Lytechinus pictus: one gene and its partner. The protein of the gene in region 1 purifies or fractionates together with the protein of each later gene. This does not show direct contact. Links are inferred from orthologs where the notes say so. Each region holds a gene or a part of one and is shown on either strand. Other genes may lie near its edges.

Region 1 (8,122 bases):
TAAAAATAGAAATGTGCCATTCCCAGAAGGTAAGTGAAAATTATTTGCTTGGCTTTTAATTATATTCCAGTCAGAATAGACTGTTGCCACAGCTGTTAAAAAACATTCGTAATGGCTTCTTAATTTTCCCCTTTTCCCCATGTTTATATTAATTTTGTTTAATTCATTTTTCTTTCATTTTTTTTTTTCTCTCTAATTTTTTTTTTTCCCTGTTCTTTGTTTTTTCTTTCTTCATTTTGTTTCTTTTGTTTTATTTCACTTATTTCTTTTATTATTTTTGTTTTCTTTTTGTAATATACTTTTTGAAAATTATTTTCATTTGTTTCCCCCTTTTATGCATTGTTCTAATTTTGCAGCATATTTTTCTGTGATTTTCTCCTGCTATAATATGCTGCAAAAGAGAAAACAGAAATAAACTGGATTTGGGGCCTGCATAATCTAGGTTTCAGGATTCAAAGAGGAAGAAATGAAAAACCATTGTTTTGTACATCTATCTGAGTTTGCTATGCACTATTTATTTACTTTACCATTATGAGTGTGTCTGTGTGTGTCTATACGGAGATAAAAAAAAAGTCCACACAACCTGCGAACAATAAAATTCATTTATTCTCTTTCAATCATTTCATTTTTACAACGATAGAAACAATTAATATTTTACCACAAACCAATGAATTAGCAAAGTAAAATAACAGCAAACAAGGTTTACATACAAGATGATAAAGTGAAAGTAACTTAGTGGTAGTGGCTGCAGAATTAATATTTCAGAAGTTTGTTTTATTAATTTTTAATGTTTTTCTTTATATTTTTCGGGCCACCAATATCGGGCCACCACCAAAAAAAGTTAATGTGGAGCCTTGTTAGTTTTAGTAAGGAGTGATATTATTATATTGTATTGTTTATAAGAAATATGAAAGGATATGCTTGTACAAGTCTAATGTGAAAAGAATATATATATATATATACATAATAATGTATGATATAATATATACAAAATGATATGTTCTGCACATATAACTAACAAAGCCCACAAGTGTTTTCGCCTTGTTGTTGTTGGTGTTGTTTAAAAAAAAAAAGAAACAAATTATTTTAATGTTTAACCCATCTGTAAGCACAGGCACACTAGCGCCCCCTCGTCTATGCATGGGTGACCTAGGCATTTTTATGTCCGAAAAATCGGCACAATGTACCGTGCTGACCGGTATGATTGCATCTTAGAAAGGGCAGGGCAAGCGCAACTAGTTGGAACTGGGCTGAAGATAGCGGTTTGTTTTTGGTGAAGATTTGTTTATATGCCATTTTGACAAGAGTTAAGACAAACTTTTGTAGACCGGTATACTATATTCATCATTTTTATAATAGAAGGATGCACAAGAAAAATATTTCATATATGTATACATCATATTGGTAATAATATGAGAAGTGAGATTTTATAGATAAAGTCAATGGCGACAATAGTCAAATATGACTAATTGCCACTCAAACCAACATAAGAAGAAGAAGAAGAAGTTATATCATAACCTGTCCTTGTTCACTGAATGAGTGGGTGCATATCATATGGAGCTCTTGCCGCTAGACCAAAAGCTTCAGTCTCTGTATTTTGGTTGTTCCGCTAAACTACGTTGGCTCCACTCACCATACATAGACTGAAGGGGATGGGGCCCCGTACCTACAGCCAACGTATAGTGAACTAGCGTTTTATAGATCGCGATTTAAAACTGTTTTTTAAGCAAAATTGAAAGTTTCATGGTTTCCATTATCAGGGAAATATAAATAACTTAAGTAATTGCATACCTTGGGCCGGAGTTATTGAAAAAAATCCTCTGGATGATTGAGAAATCTGTCATCTAAGACATTTTCACCTGACCTGACGGTTTTTCTTGCAAGTTGCCATCTTGAATGACGTCATTATCGTTATTAACTTAATGTCTCGAATCGATATGTCGCGATTATAACTAGTACTAGTACTAGTATAACTAGTATCGTTTATCTTCGGTTTCGATCGCATATGGAGCAGATCGTATAATATCGAAAGCAATATCGATATCACATTCGTGATTGTTGACGTTCGTTTGTAAATATTTTATAGTTTGGCTGCCATTTTGACAATTTTTATCGTGTTCAACCCAATTAAACATCGGTAAAGTATATTTTTCATGCCTTTTTCATCTAGGCCTATATCGTTTAAAGTATTTAAATATTAAAATATTAAATTTTAAGTTTGTTGTTTATACATCCTTAGATTGTAAATTCGATGTGTAAAATTACATCAAACTTTGGACTGTGAATTGACAAAAGGGAGGGAATGAGAACACATGCGAGCCCACACGTACACCCTACCGTCGGTAAATGGGGATTACAGTAAAATGTCAGAAATTGTTGAATAAATCCCCAGAAACGACGGTTATTCCTGTCTATCTTGCCGCATGCTCTGAATAGATCAATATTGGATTATTGCTATTGTTTCCAAGAGGAAGAGAAGAATCACGTGGAAATATTCCCATCCGCCACCCTTGAGCCCTCTCCAAACTCCCCTCTCTCATTTTCCCCAATATGTTTTATACACAGTCGCGTGCCGATATGCGAAGGTTTACTTACTCAACGCTATATTGGGCGCCCTTCTTCAGGAGCATTTTTCGGGCGTTTGGGAGCGTTTCAAAAAATCGCCGAAGTGTCCGATCTTCCACTTGTAGTGTAGTATCTTTGCTTTATCCTATCAAATCATTTCAAAGCAATTTCTACTGATTACATCTTTGCAAGAAACCCCGATATTACCAATCACAATTTGTTTTTTAAATTCCATTAACCTCATATAAGGATGAAAATAACTCACCTCTTTCTCTCGAAAGCTGGTCGCTGTTCAACTCGGGTTACTCAGCTCAGCACACACGTGTGTATATATTACTATATCGTTCAGAAGTTAAGTCTGAAGTTAGAGACTATGAATTTTACAATGGACAATTATAGCTTGATGCGGTGCTTAATTTTTTTTATCCATATGCCCAGCAAATAGTTCGAACGTACAGTATCATACAGACGAAAAAATGATCAATCAATTACTAGTAACCTTTCACTCTCTTCAAATTTTCACACGGTTTCATCATCTTTCAGATACCATTATTGGTAACTTCAGTTTTGCCCTTTAAATCTATGGTAGCTTCAATGTTACAAAATACATGTATTGTGTTGTGGAATTCACGGGTTTTTATGAAATGTGAAAAACCCTGCTTGCTTCGACAAGCTAGGTTCTAATATTTTTAAGTATGACATTTGAGGGGGCGAGATATGGCCTTTCGGGCAACATCTTGAAAAAATTTTTTCTCTGACCAAATTTGCTTTTGACCGCACAGAAACATAGCCCTAACAATTCGCTAACAGAGGCCCTGTTACAACCGGCAATGTGACAGCAATGCGTAATGTTACATCAATGCATTACTCCCATTACTCACACATTGAAATAGATGTTTTTACTGCACAATCCGAAATATGGGACTGGGTTTACCGTTTACTGCTATAGTGGTCTGTTAGGCTAACAACGTTTCTGTGCAGCGTGGTGTTTCGAGCTGCTGCCAACTTTTTTTTTTTTTTTTTTTTTTTGGGAGGGGGCGGGGGCGGGGGCGGGGGGGCAATTATGCCCAAGGGTCCCCCTCCCTGTTTTAGTCAAACATACTTATCAGAAATCACTTTATTCAAATCCAGACGACCTAAAACTGAAAGTTTTTTTTTACTGAATAATATCATATGGGTATAGTATAGTTATACAACACATATTTACCTCTTGTTTCCATACTTTTCCTTCTTCCCCACCTCGAATGGGGATATTGTGAACATATAGGCCCTACTTTTTTGTTTTACTTTTATTCTTCATTTTCTCTTACCCTCATTTTTTTTTCTTCTATTACATCATCTTGAAAAGTAGCAGCTGCCCTTTGCCACTTCCCAAATCCTTATTTTGATGAAATGCATCAATTCATTTTTCTTCTTAATTCAAAGTTCTGATCTCATGCCAAGTTCCCGGGCCAAATTTTCTTGCTGGAAACTATGTAAATGCCACCACATGTTGAATCACCATTTTTGTCACTATTATACCACCCAGTTCTGTAAAAGTGTGATCCCAGCCATGGAAACGGGCCCTTTTCATGGAAATTTATTACCAAAACAGCAGAAAAGATGAACTAAGAGCAATCAACTATATAGTGGCATTATTTTCGAGAGAGTATGAGTTAAAAAACATACCTTAATTGTATTCGGATTTTTTTATATAAAACAAGTGGAATGCCTCTGGCGGTCTCACCTGCATCACGCGATTCAATATAGCAGCAGTGCCGACTTTGAAAAACACCATTTAAATAATTATTCACAAAAAACACCATTCATATAATGATACAATACAACGTTCATTGACATTGGACCTTGATCATGTGACCTAAAACTTGTCAGTGATACTTAATTGATTACCCCTATATCCACATTTTATGCACTATATCTATAAACTTTGAAAGTTATGACAGCAATCTAATAATTACCTCTAAAATGGCCGAAGTTCAATGACCTTAAATGACGTTTGGTCATGTGACCTGAAACTCGCATGAGATGTTCAGTGATACTTGAAGACTCTTATGTCCAAGTTTTATGAACTAGACCAATATACTTAGAGTTATGATGGTAATTCAATGAATACCCCCAACATGGCCAATATCCATTGACCTTTGACCTTGGTCATGTGACCTGAAACTCGCACAGGATGTTCAGTGATACTTGATTACTCTTATGTCTAAGTTTCATGAGTCAGATCCATAAACTTTCAAAGTTATGATGGTAATTCAACAGATACCCCCATTACGGCCAAAGTTCATTGACCTTTGTCATGTGACCTGAAATGCACACAGGATGTTCAGTGATACTTGATTACTATTATGTCCAAGTTTCATGAATCAGAACCATAAACTTTCAAAGTTATGATGGTAATTCAACAGATTTGGCCAAAGTTCATTGACCCTAAATGACCTTTGACCTTAGTCATGTGACGTGAAACTCATGCAGGATGTTCAGTAATACTTGATTAACCTTATGTCTAAGTTTCATGAACTAGGTCTATATATTTTCTAAGTTATGATGACATTTCAAAAACTTAACATTAGGTTAAGATTTTGATCAATGTTGATTCCCCAACATGGTGCAAGTTCATTGACCCTAAATGACCTTTGACCTTGATCATGTGACATGAAACTCAGGCAGAATGTTCAGTAATACTTGATTAACCTTATGGCCAAGTTTCATGAACCAGGTCCATATACTTTCTAAGTTATGCTGTCATTTAAAAAACTTAAGATTTGGTGTTGACGCCGCCGTCGGAAAAGCGGCGCCTATAGTCTCACTCTGCTATGCAGGTGAGACAAAAAGGGTTGTAAGTTCACATCTCTACTGGCAAAAATTACACTCTTTACTCATTGTTTGTCGTAGGCCTTCATGTATACAGTGGACCCCCCCCCCCCCCCCCCCCATCATTGGCTCAATTTGAATGTTTGTATAAGACAGATGTTACGAACATCAGGCTGGGTAAATTATGCTGCAGCATTGGCAACCTTCCAAGCATTTGACACAAGTCTCAACATTACTGCTCTTGCTATTCCATGTACAAGTCTCCTGCCGATCTAACTTCATGAAAAACCTGTTAAATGTTTATACATTGAACTCAAAACAGAATGCCAATCCTTTTTCGCAGGTCAACAATTTCAAATTAAAGATTTAAAGATGATGAGCTATATTCAAGAATGGATAAAAGCAGGTTTATTGAAAACTAGAATTGCACAATATTTTGTTATATATCGTCATCCCCGATGAATCAATGGGTGTCAAACATTGTCAAGTAACGTTCACAAACATACCATTTTTTCAGCTAAGCCTAACAGAATGGAGACGAGGAATAAAACATTGGTTATGGATGGTATTCTTTGACCCTTTCCATTTGAATCTTGTGGGTTAGATTGGATTAATACAGAGGGCAGTGGGAATAAGGGCTGTGATGTTTAGCGTTTCAAGGCAATTTCTCGTCTGAAACGGATTTTAAGTTAAAATTATTGAATGGACCCATGAACCCAATACCACAATGATTGTTCATTGATGTTTAATGGCACAATATTTCAACATTATGGTCATATTATGCCGCCCTAATGTACACTTGACATAAAGAAAGTAACCCAATTTGTTATTGATTCATTCTCATTTTCAATAAAGAGTATCCCATTTCCTGACATTGTTCTAGTTCATCACTAAACATACTAATTTTCTCATCCTTACTGTTCGTTTTCTCTCTTAAATTCATTTAATTTTCCCTCCCTCATTTATTTTACATTATAATACATTGATTGTAAACATATCACAAGAGTTAAACGTGATAAAATGATAGCACTTTTGTTATGTATGGAAAGATTTTTGCTGCACAAACACCACATACAAATAAACTGACACATCTTGATTATAATTGATATATCTATTTCTATTCATAAGTTACAGAATGAATATATCTGTTTTAATATTCACATGTATGTACAATATAACAATGCATTTGAACAATATCATCAAATAATCATCAGCCCAAAGCAAGCCAAAAAATAAGCATTGAAGGAAAGAGGAACAAAAGACTTAGAAATAACCTTCACAAAATTGAGGACAGTATTAAGTTATTACATTTAATCAAGCAAAATTCATAAAATCTAATAAACACATTGACAAACATTGTAACATGGTAAACTTAATGAAAATTTTGATAAAGTGATAAAAAATAAAACACCTGTAACATTTATGAAAATATTTATTAGAATCATCATCATCCTCCACCTCCTCTTCCTAATCTTAATCATCATAATTACACTTATAAATCAGCAATATTAGAAATGATTTCATCATGGGCTTTTTCATTCTTTACATTATATTGATGAAATAGATGAAATAAAAATGTATTATCAAAGAAACATCTCAATGGCTAAGATGAAAATAGGGCACTATTAAACACAAATTGTTAACTTCACATGTAAATGGAACAATGGGAGAAGTAATAATCTATACATGTCCTGCAGCTCAATACAATTAATTGCTTTGGGAGTATTGTTTGTAAACACAAGTAAACATGACAAAATAAAATATTAAATCTAAGTCAAGATTGAAGTGCATGATGAATATAACAAGTATGAATGAACAAAAATTAATGCAAAGCCTTACAATAAAAAAAAAAATAAATATAAGGGAGAAACTTGGGCACAGACCTCGCCCATATCCCATACAAATATACCTATAATTTAGGATTTAGATATTCAAAAGTTTCAAACTACCAGTAATTCAATTTGTACTTGTTTTGTTCCCATTTCTTTGATATTCATGTACACAAATAACCACATACTTCAAGAAAAAATAAAAATAACATGATATTTTCTTCAAATTGATATCCTTTGGAGAAAATATCATGATATACTGTACATAATATATCATGTATCCATTTCTTCTCAGTCAAGCTAGTCTCAGAAATGTGAGTTTACTGGCTTAACGTCATTATCAGATACACATACTGCAAGATATTCAATAGTGGACCACTCAGAAATATCAACAAATTAAATTACTTCGATAAACAATACTAGAACATAAACAACCATCTTATGATAAAAAAGTAAAGTTATTATCATCTAGCAATTCCAATATATCTAGTATTGCACTTGGATGCAATGGTTATGCAAATTTAAATGTAAAGCTCATTTTTTTATCATTATTACTAACATCTTCTTTTTTATGACACAGCATATTCATGAAACATCATCCCCTGGATCATTACTAACATCAAAAGCTTCATAAAATATATCTTGTTATCTTACATAGTTTTACATAAAATACAGTCCCCATAATTCATCAGAGAAGAAGTGCTTATCACCTTTCATGCTTGGCCTAAACTCAAGTTCCTTGTTATTTAAATATCTAGAAATGGCTTTAAAATGAAATAAAACGTTTGGAAAACCCACACTAAAGCAATAATAACCTTCAGAAAGTAGAACAGCAGAAACAAGTCATCGAGGAATGGAAGACTCTCTGAACATCTGGAAAAAATTTGTATCTGTTGATGTTTCTGGTGGTACCC
Region 2 (7,585 bases), on another chromosome or scaffold:
CTCTTCTTTCACCGTCTATATGACTTGCCATCTTCCTATAATCTTGGTAAAGTTATGAAATTTGAAACACCAGTTTACATTGACTAGCACACTCGATTGGTGACAGCCACATCATGTACATGTTGGTACTTGACAGGTGAATGAACTTTCCTACACAAAGATTACTTCTGTGGAAAAATCATTATGAACAAAATACAATTCCTGTATTAAAACAGTAAATAGGAATGAGCCTTATTTTTAGAGCAGCACCTCTTCTGACAATAGGAAACATTTTATATCTAAGACTAAGTTAATCAGTCGGTAGCTGACCGTTATAGGCAACAGAAAATACTCTGGGCCTTTCTGGTTAAAGTGGAGAGCTGGGATTCGAACTCACAACCTTTTGATCGAGTCTAAGTGCACTAACCAAACAGTGAGTAGGACTCAGTCATAATGGTGGTGGTTCGCTCAACTCAACGCTGGAGAAAAGGACTGAACGACCAAACCAAACGATCTGCTCGTGCGTTCCCAAGACTTAGGTCGCTAATTTCAGTCAAGATTTACAAGTCTATCTCAACTGCAATATTATTTAACAAACAGACCACAGCTAACAATACATGAGCTGCTACACTCCGAGTCCTACTACCTAACCCAGGGAGCTCCCGCCCGCACAGGGCTGACCGTGTATTTTACCATACTCACGGGACTAGGGTGATTTATGGTCTAAATATTTCTCCAAATGAATTGTGAAAACAGAAATTATGCACTTACCACGATCATATGGATGAAGGTCTAACGAGTGGCAGTTTCCTGACATCTGGGCACAAACTGGAACCTCAAAAAAACGAAAAGTTCTCTCTTTCTACCCCAGTCTCGATCGGCCATTTTGTTACAATTCATAACAAAAATGGCCGATCGAGACGGGGGTAGAAGGAGAGAACTTTTCGTTTTTTTGAGGTTCCAGTCTGTGCCCAGATGTCAGGAAACTGCCACTCGTTAGACCTTCATCCATATAATCGTGGTAATTGCATACTTTCTGTTTTCACAATTCATTTGGAGAAATATTTAGACCATAAATCACCCTAGTCCGGTGACTATGGTCAAATACACGGTAAGCCCCACCCATGGGTTCATATCATCTCGCGTGCGAAGGAATATCAGTCATATGCACGCGACACACACGACAAGTCAAAAAGATAGTGGGCTTTTGCCCACATAAAATATCACCAATAATCTGGTATTTCACATTCTGCTATGACACTTACCGAATCATTTAGATCCTTCCGTGACTTCTCCTTGAAGTTTTTTCTTAAAAATATGTATATTTTCTTGATCTTTAGTGAAGATTTCACGGATATAAAATTTGGTCAGCGTAGATATCAATTTTCGCCTAAAGAGGGCGCGCGATTTATATTCATATCAAAGACACGACAAGGGAAAGATTAGGAACCTACACTATTTTACACGCAAATCGACGCAAGGCATTACGCGAAGTCCGTGAAGTGTCCAATCTTTTCATTGTATAGACTTTGGTATACCGTGACGTTCGTTAATACTGCTTGGACTGCTGGTTTCGTTCCAGGCATGTGTATTTAAAAAAAAAAAATTATATTAGTCATCGTTTTAAATTAATTGCAACAAAAGTGTTATCATCGCCAATAGTAATCCTGAATTATGTTTTTGAAGGTATTTTATTTATTGGTGCCCATAATTAGTAAATTAATCATAAGAATTGCGCATTCAAAGAATTTAGACACAGTTATAAAATTACCGAGGAGCTGAATCAAGGTTGTGAAATTTATTAGCGCCACCAACGGGCTTCCTTGTATTTCCGTAGAAGAGACAAACGAAGTCACTTGCTAGGCCGAGGTAAGCGAAATTTGCTCTTTTTAAATTAAATGAGTTAAATATGATATGTATAATTTTGTTATGTATTGCTACTTACCGGAAAGAGCCCCGGTGCGTAGCGAGAAGGAGTTTCGGCAAATATTACTTCAGCAATGAAGCAATGTTTGCCGACTACTTCAAAATCTACGGTCAAACACGGTCCGGTGTACGAGGTTTGTATATATATACGAACCTCGTATTAGTGTGAGTGGGTAAGCCCCTGGCCTGGGCTCCCGCCCGCGCAGCGGGCGGGAGCTCCCTGGGTTAGGTAGTACTAGTAGTAGGACTCTGACTAGTGTAGCAGCTCATGTATTGTTAGCTGTGGTCTGTTTGTTAAATAATATTGCAGTTGAGATAGACTTGTAAATCTTGACAGCTCCCTGGGTTACCTACTTTACTACCATGACTACAGCACAGGGAGTACAGCATAGACATACATAGTCTTGACTTAAGAAGTTAAGGCTTTAGTTTAAGCCAGGCCCAGGATCTCAATTTTAATACAGCCATAACTTTCTTATCGCTTGTCTGATTTCTTTCAAACTTTCACCATTGTTTTTTTATTAATTTTTCTCCTTTCCAACCCAACATTTTACGACCAAGGCTGGATTCCCCTTTAATTAATCGGCCGGTGCGAAACTGCATTAGCGCCAAGAACTTCTGCTGCAGCAGCATGCAGCTCACACGCGGGCCGCGCCCGAGCTCCGCCTTTTTTTACCCTATCGCTCCGTGCAAACAGATGGATGGATGCGCGACCGATCCCGGCCCGGTGAACGCGAATTCGGACGCTAAAACCTGGAAAAAATACTCGTACCGGTACCAATACTGATTATCGACGACCATATTTAAAAACTAAAATCATATGAATCAATACAGATTGGGATTTTTATTTCTTATATAAAACAAATCACTGAGCAATGAAACACTCACCAAATGTCGAAAATTCTGATGCAATGACATGTGTATATCCAGTACACTGGCAAGCGCTAAGGAGTCTAGTTTCAAAGATAGGGTACCGACGTACCGTACCGTGTGTGTATTTGAGGTTTGTCAGACGTGTATCAATCAGATATGATTATTTACGTCTGGACCGACCTTTAACGTCACCGTCGAACCGAAAGACGTGACCAGGGCTCGAAGCCTCGAACCTCTGCATCAATTTGTAACTTCCCCCACTAGTAGACTTGTTAACTGCAAAAAAAGGGGTGAACGCTGCATTTTTTAGTACAAATGTCCCACTTGGCACAAATGTTCCTTGAGTCAAAAGAAAAAGATTCATCCAAAGAGACACGCTGTATCTATGCAAATAAGCAAGTAATTTGCATAAATTTGCATATTATGTCGATATAGTAAAAACAAGTATTTCAGAATATATTTTTAACCAGAACTGCCCTAAAATTTGAAATAAAGACTTAGGGAAAGAAAGGGAAGAAAATTGTCATAAAATAATTGGGATATCCTTGTTTATTATTACCTAATTTACATAAATTATGCAAATTATAATTTAAAACAAAGTATTTTTTCATGAATCCTGAACTGTTTTGTAAATAACAGCAATTAATGCACAAGATCAACATTCTACATGAAAGAGAATATATTAGCGAAAACATCGATATGCTTCATGACAGTATTAGTGTCTTAATTTGCTTAGAAAGAGGGCAAATATGTCAAAATGTATGACGTGATATTGCGCTAAAACGAGACCAAAACAACCTCTATGTCACAGTCACACTCACGAATCGGACAATAAAGCGATCAATGGTATGTCATTCGAGATAACACAATCTCAACACAATAGCTTCCATCGGCTTCTCGTATCGCTTTTGTTGGTGTGTCTGCCACACCGTAATCTATGGTATATACGGGCAAAATGCATTTCGGTATCGGTAAAACACTATTAATTTTGTTTTATTTGTTTCGAATTGGTTTCTCTTGGAAAATTTACAGGAGACATTGCTTTGCAGGTTACTGCTTTAATGAAGCTCTGGCACATGAATCATGACGAATGTACCCCACCTCAATCCATATTTTAACTTTGTTAAAATATATATCTTTTGGAGACCCCGAAGTGGCAAAACTGCATTCCCCGCGGCATTCCCGCTACTTTACAAAACCAGTTTGACTTGTATTATCGACTTGGAAAAGACAGATGTATGAGACATCAGTTAACATGTTTCCAGAGGATGTTTTTTTTTTATTATTTAAGCCTACGTCCATGGGAGCTCTCCGAATTTACCCCATCCCCTCTCTGTATTTCGACACTAAATAATAAAAAAATCGTGTTTTAAAGCCACCGGCAAGGCAAATTGCGTTTTTGGTATGATAAAGCAACTTTTATATCTATATTTCATATTTATCTATATTAATATCATTATTATAATTAATATTATTATTATTATTATTATTGTTATTATTATTATTATTGTTGTTGTTTTGCAGTTTTTAATAATGCTCTAGCACAGTAAAGGCTATAACCCAACAGGAGCATGCCTAGGATACCCTTTCCCCTTATGGTTTTATGTATTCAAAAATAGTTTATTGTCTTTATCTTTAGAACTCATATCTTGGAATAGATTGAGGTGAAAATATTCTACAATTGACATGTAGAAGAGCTGTGGTACATTGAATAAAAGCCACACGTAAGCTCTAAAATACCCCTTTATTGATTCCACTCTATGTTAAATTTAAATATTTTTAGAGTCCATTCGGAAGAAAGATACATTTCTACTACACACAGTAAAGCCTCTTTACTTTCTCCTCTTGAAAAAAAAACATAGAAGGCATTGTTTTATATCGCATAAAATAAGTTCGTGTACATGACGGTGGCCTGTCGAAGTTGCCCAACCCTTTATTTTGTTTTGACAATATATATTTAGAATATCGTCTAAATGAAGCCCTCATCTGGAAAAGGGCACATATTAAAGGCAGCATCTACATTATATAGAGGAGGCCCTGGTACTTGGAAGCGGGGGCTGAAGCACCCGCAAGATTTTTCTGAAGGGGGGGGGGGGGGGAGGGGGCTGTGCTGCGTGTGTTATTCTTTATAGACAGCACCCCCTGGAATTCCGGCAGATGTGACAAAACGAAAAAAAGAAACGTTACAAAAAAAAAAAACTTCATTTTGTAGTGCAATCCATTTTGTTTATTTGCTTGTTAAATTTCTTGATGTAAATTTGAAAAGCAAAATAGTTTCAATGTAAAATTTTGGTCCGAAGAAATTTAATAAACTTCAGCCCCCTCTTCCCAGTGCCATGGCCTCCTCTATATAATGTAGATGCTGCCTTTAATAAGTGCCCTTTTCCAGATGAGGGTTTCATTTAGACGATATTCTAAATATATATTGTTGAAACAAAATAAACGGTTGGGCAACTTCGACAGGCCACCGTCACGTACACGAACTTATTTTATGAGATATAAAACAATGCCTTCTATGTTTTTTTTTTTTTTTCAAGAGGAGAATGCAAAGAGTCTTTACTTTGTGTAGTAGAAATGCATCTTTCTTCCGATCGGGCTCTAAAATTATTTAAATTTAACATTGAGTGGAATCTATAAAGGGCTGTGTGGCTGTTCTTCAATGTACCACAGCTCCTCTACATGTCAGTTGTAGAGTATTTTCTCCTCAATCTATTCCAAGATATCAATACAAACAAAAGTAATCTTTTAAGAGTTCTAAAGACAATAAACTATTTTTGAATACTTAAACCAAAAAGGGAGAGGGTATCCTAGGCATGCTCCTGTTGGGTTATAGCCTTTACTGTGCTAGAGCACTATTACAAATGGCAGAACAATAATAATAATAATAATAATAATAACAGTAATAATAATAATAATAATAATATTAATAATAATTATAATAATATCAATAATGATGAATGTAAATATAAAAATATAGATATAAAAGTTGCTTTATTATACCAAAAAACGCAATTTGCCTTGCCGATGGTTTTAAAACACGATATTTTCTTTATTTAAAGTCGAAATACGGAGAGGGGATGGGGTAAATTCGGAGGGCTCCCATGGACGTAGGCTTAAATAAATAAAAAAAACTTTCTTCAGGAAACATGTTGACTGATGTCTCATACATATGTCTTTTCCAAGTCGATTATACAAGTCAAACTGGTTTTGTAAAGTGGCGGGAATGCAGGGGGATGCAGTTTTGCCACCTCGGGGTCTCCAAAAAGATATATATTTTAATAAAGTTAAAATATGGATTGAGGTAGGATACATTCGTCATGATTCATGTGCCAGAGTTTCATTGAAGCAGTAACCTGCAAAGCAATGTCTCCTGTAAATTTTCCAAGAGAAACAAAATAGAAACAAATAAAACAAAATTAATAGTGTTTTACCGATACCGAAATGCATTTTGTCCGTATGTATCATAGATTACGGTGTGGCAGACACACCAACAAAAGCGATACACACTTAAAAATAGGTAGTCAAATTTTGACTAGTTTGGGTGGTCATTTCAAAATAACCCTGGATGTAGTCAAATTTGACTGCATATAGGGTCAACCTTTCACTGTTTACTTTGCCTATTGGCTTTTTGACTGCGCCGGAAGTTAAAAATGACTAGGTGTATGAAGTGGAAAAATAACTTGCCTAAAGAGTCATCATCACAATGACTGCAATGCAAGTTGAACGGCGGAGGGATATATTACTGTGTGCAGTGTTCAATAATCAATAGTTATTTTGCTAATACTTGTAATGTTGTAATAGCAAACAAATTTAATCAGTGTGAAAGAAACAACATTTTAAAACTTTCCATGTATTTCACTTCATTTGCGTTGTGATATATATTATTTTTATCAAAGAACTATTTTACTTCAGGTCGAATCACTCAATGTATGGTGAGTATGATTTCGAATTTCCCGGCCGCGCCGCCGCGTCTCAAGTTGCGAAATTTTTACTGCAGTCTTGCATGCGACCGCTTGGTGTTGATGATGGAGAGGCTCCTAAATAAGTGGGGATTAGGTGGTTTAGTTGCTGTGTTTGAAGGTAAGAAATTTGTCTTGAGTGTCAAACATATTTGTGTCTTTACTACAGGTATGTAAACTTACATGATTGTAGTATTTCGTTAAGCTTAAGTAATTTCACAAAATAACACGTTGACATTGGCATTGCCATTGCAGTGCATGGCATCATGTAACCCAGAGAGCTCCCGCCCGCTGCGCGGGCGGAGCCCAGAATCTAAGACTTAGACAAGTAACACTTAACATAACAGACATTAATGCTAAGTCAATCGTATTTCAACACTGATTATTCTGAAGTAAAGCGTTCCTGAATAAAAGAAACTGCTGAGAATTATACTTATTCATATGAAGATGAAATAGAGGGGACGGACTAGGCCTAAACTTCAACTTTCAAGCTTGAAGTTTGGGCCTAGTCCGTCCCCGCTATTTTCATACCCCATGACTACATCGACAATCTCGCTAGCCGGCTAGCACCGGCGATATCAAAGGCCGGATCCCGCTCTGACCATATCCCTACATTGACCTAAATTTGAATAGGCCTAAAATCGACAGTTTGTCGTTACTAAAAAACAGGAGGTCGGAAACAAGTCCACATCTACCCCTGATAATTGTCTAATCACAATAAAACTGAAATAAAGGTTTACTTTGGACCTACATGAAGCATTCCGATGAATGTCTAGATCTACGACAAACTATATAGGCCCCCCTAGATATAGTATTTTTTGAGAAACTCAATGATCACACTTATTTGG

The links.
Region 2: the proteins of isoleucine--tRNA ligase, cytoplasmic-like (region 1) and leucine--tRNA ligase, cytoplasmic-like purify together in Homo sapiens (affinity purification with mass spectrometry; 7 studies listed by BioGRID and IntAct, counting the BioPlex papers as one, with this or other methods). This does not show direct contact. The link is inferred for Lytechinus pictus from reciprocal best matches to the Homo sapiens genes IARS1 and LARS1.

Annotation. Positions count from the first base shown.
Region 1 is NC_087247.1:36,592,565-36,600,686, forward strand, and holds the start of isoleucine--tRNA ligase, cytoplasmic-like, read right to left. Parts: upstream 3,150-8,122; 5' UTR 2,831-3,149; intron 1-2,830. UniProt on the Homo sapiens protein: Catalyzes the specific attachment of an amino acid to its cognate tRNA in a 2 step reaction: the amino acid (AA) is first activated by ATP to form AA-AMP and then transferred to the acceptor end of the tRNA.
Region 2 is NW_026974140.1:10,269,499-10,277,083, reverse strand, and holds the start of leucine--tRNA ligase, cytoplasmic-like, read right to left. Parts: upstream 3,155-7,585; 5' UTR 2,794-3,154; exon of another isoform or gene 2,678-2,793; intron 2,291-2,677; exon of another isoform or gene 1,925-2,290; intron 1-1,924. UniProt on the Homo sapiens protein: Aminoacyl-tRNA synthetase that catalyzes the specific attachment of leucine to its cognate tRNA (tRNA(Leu)).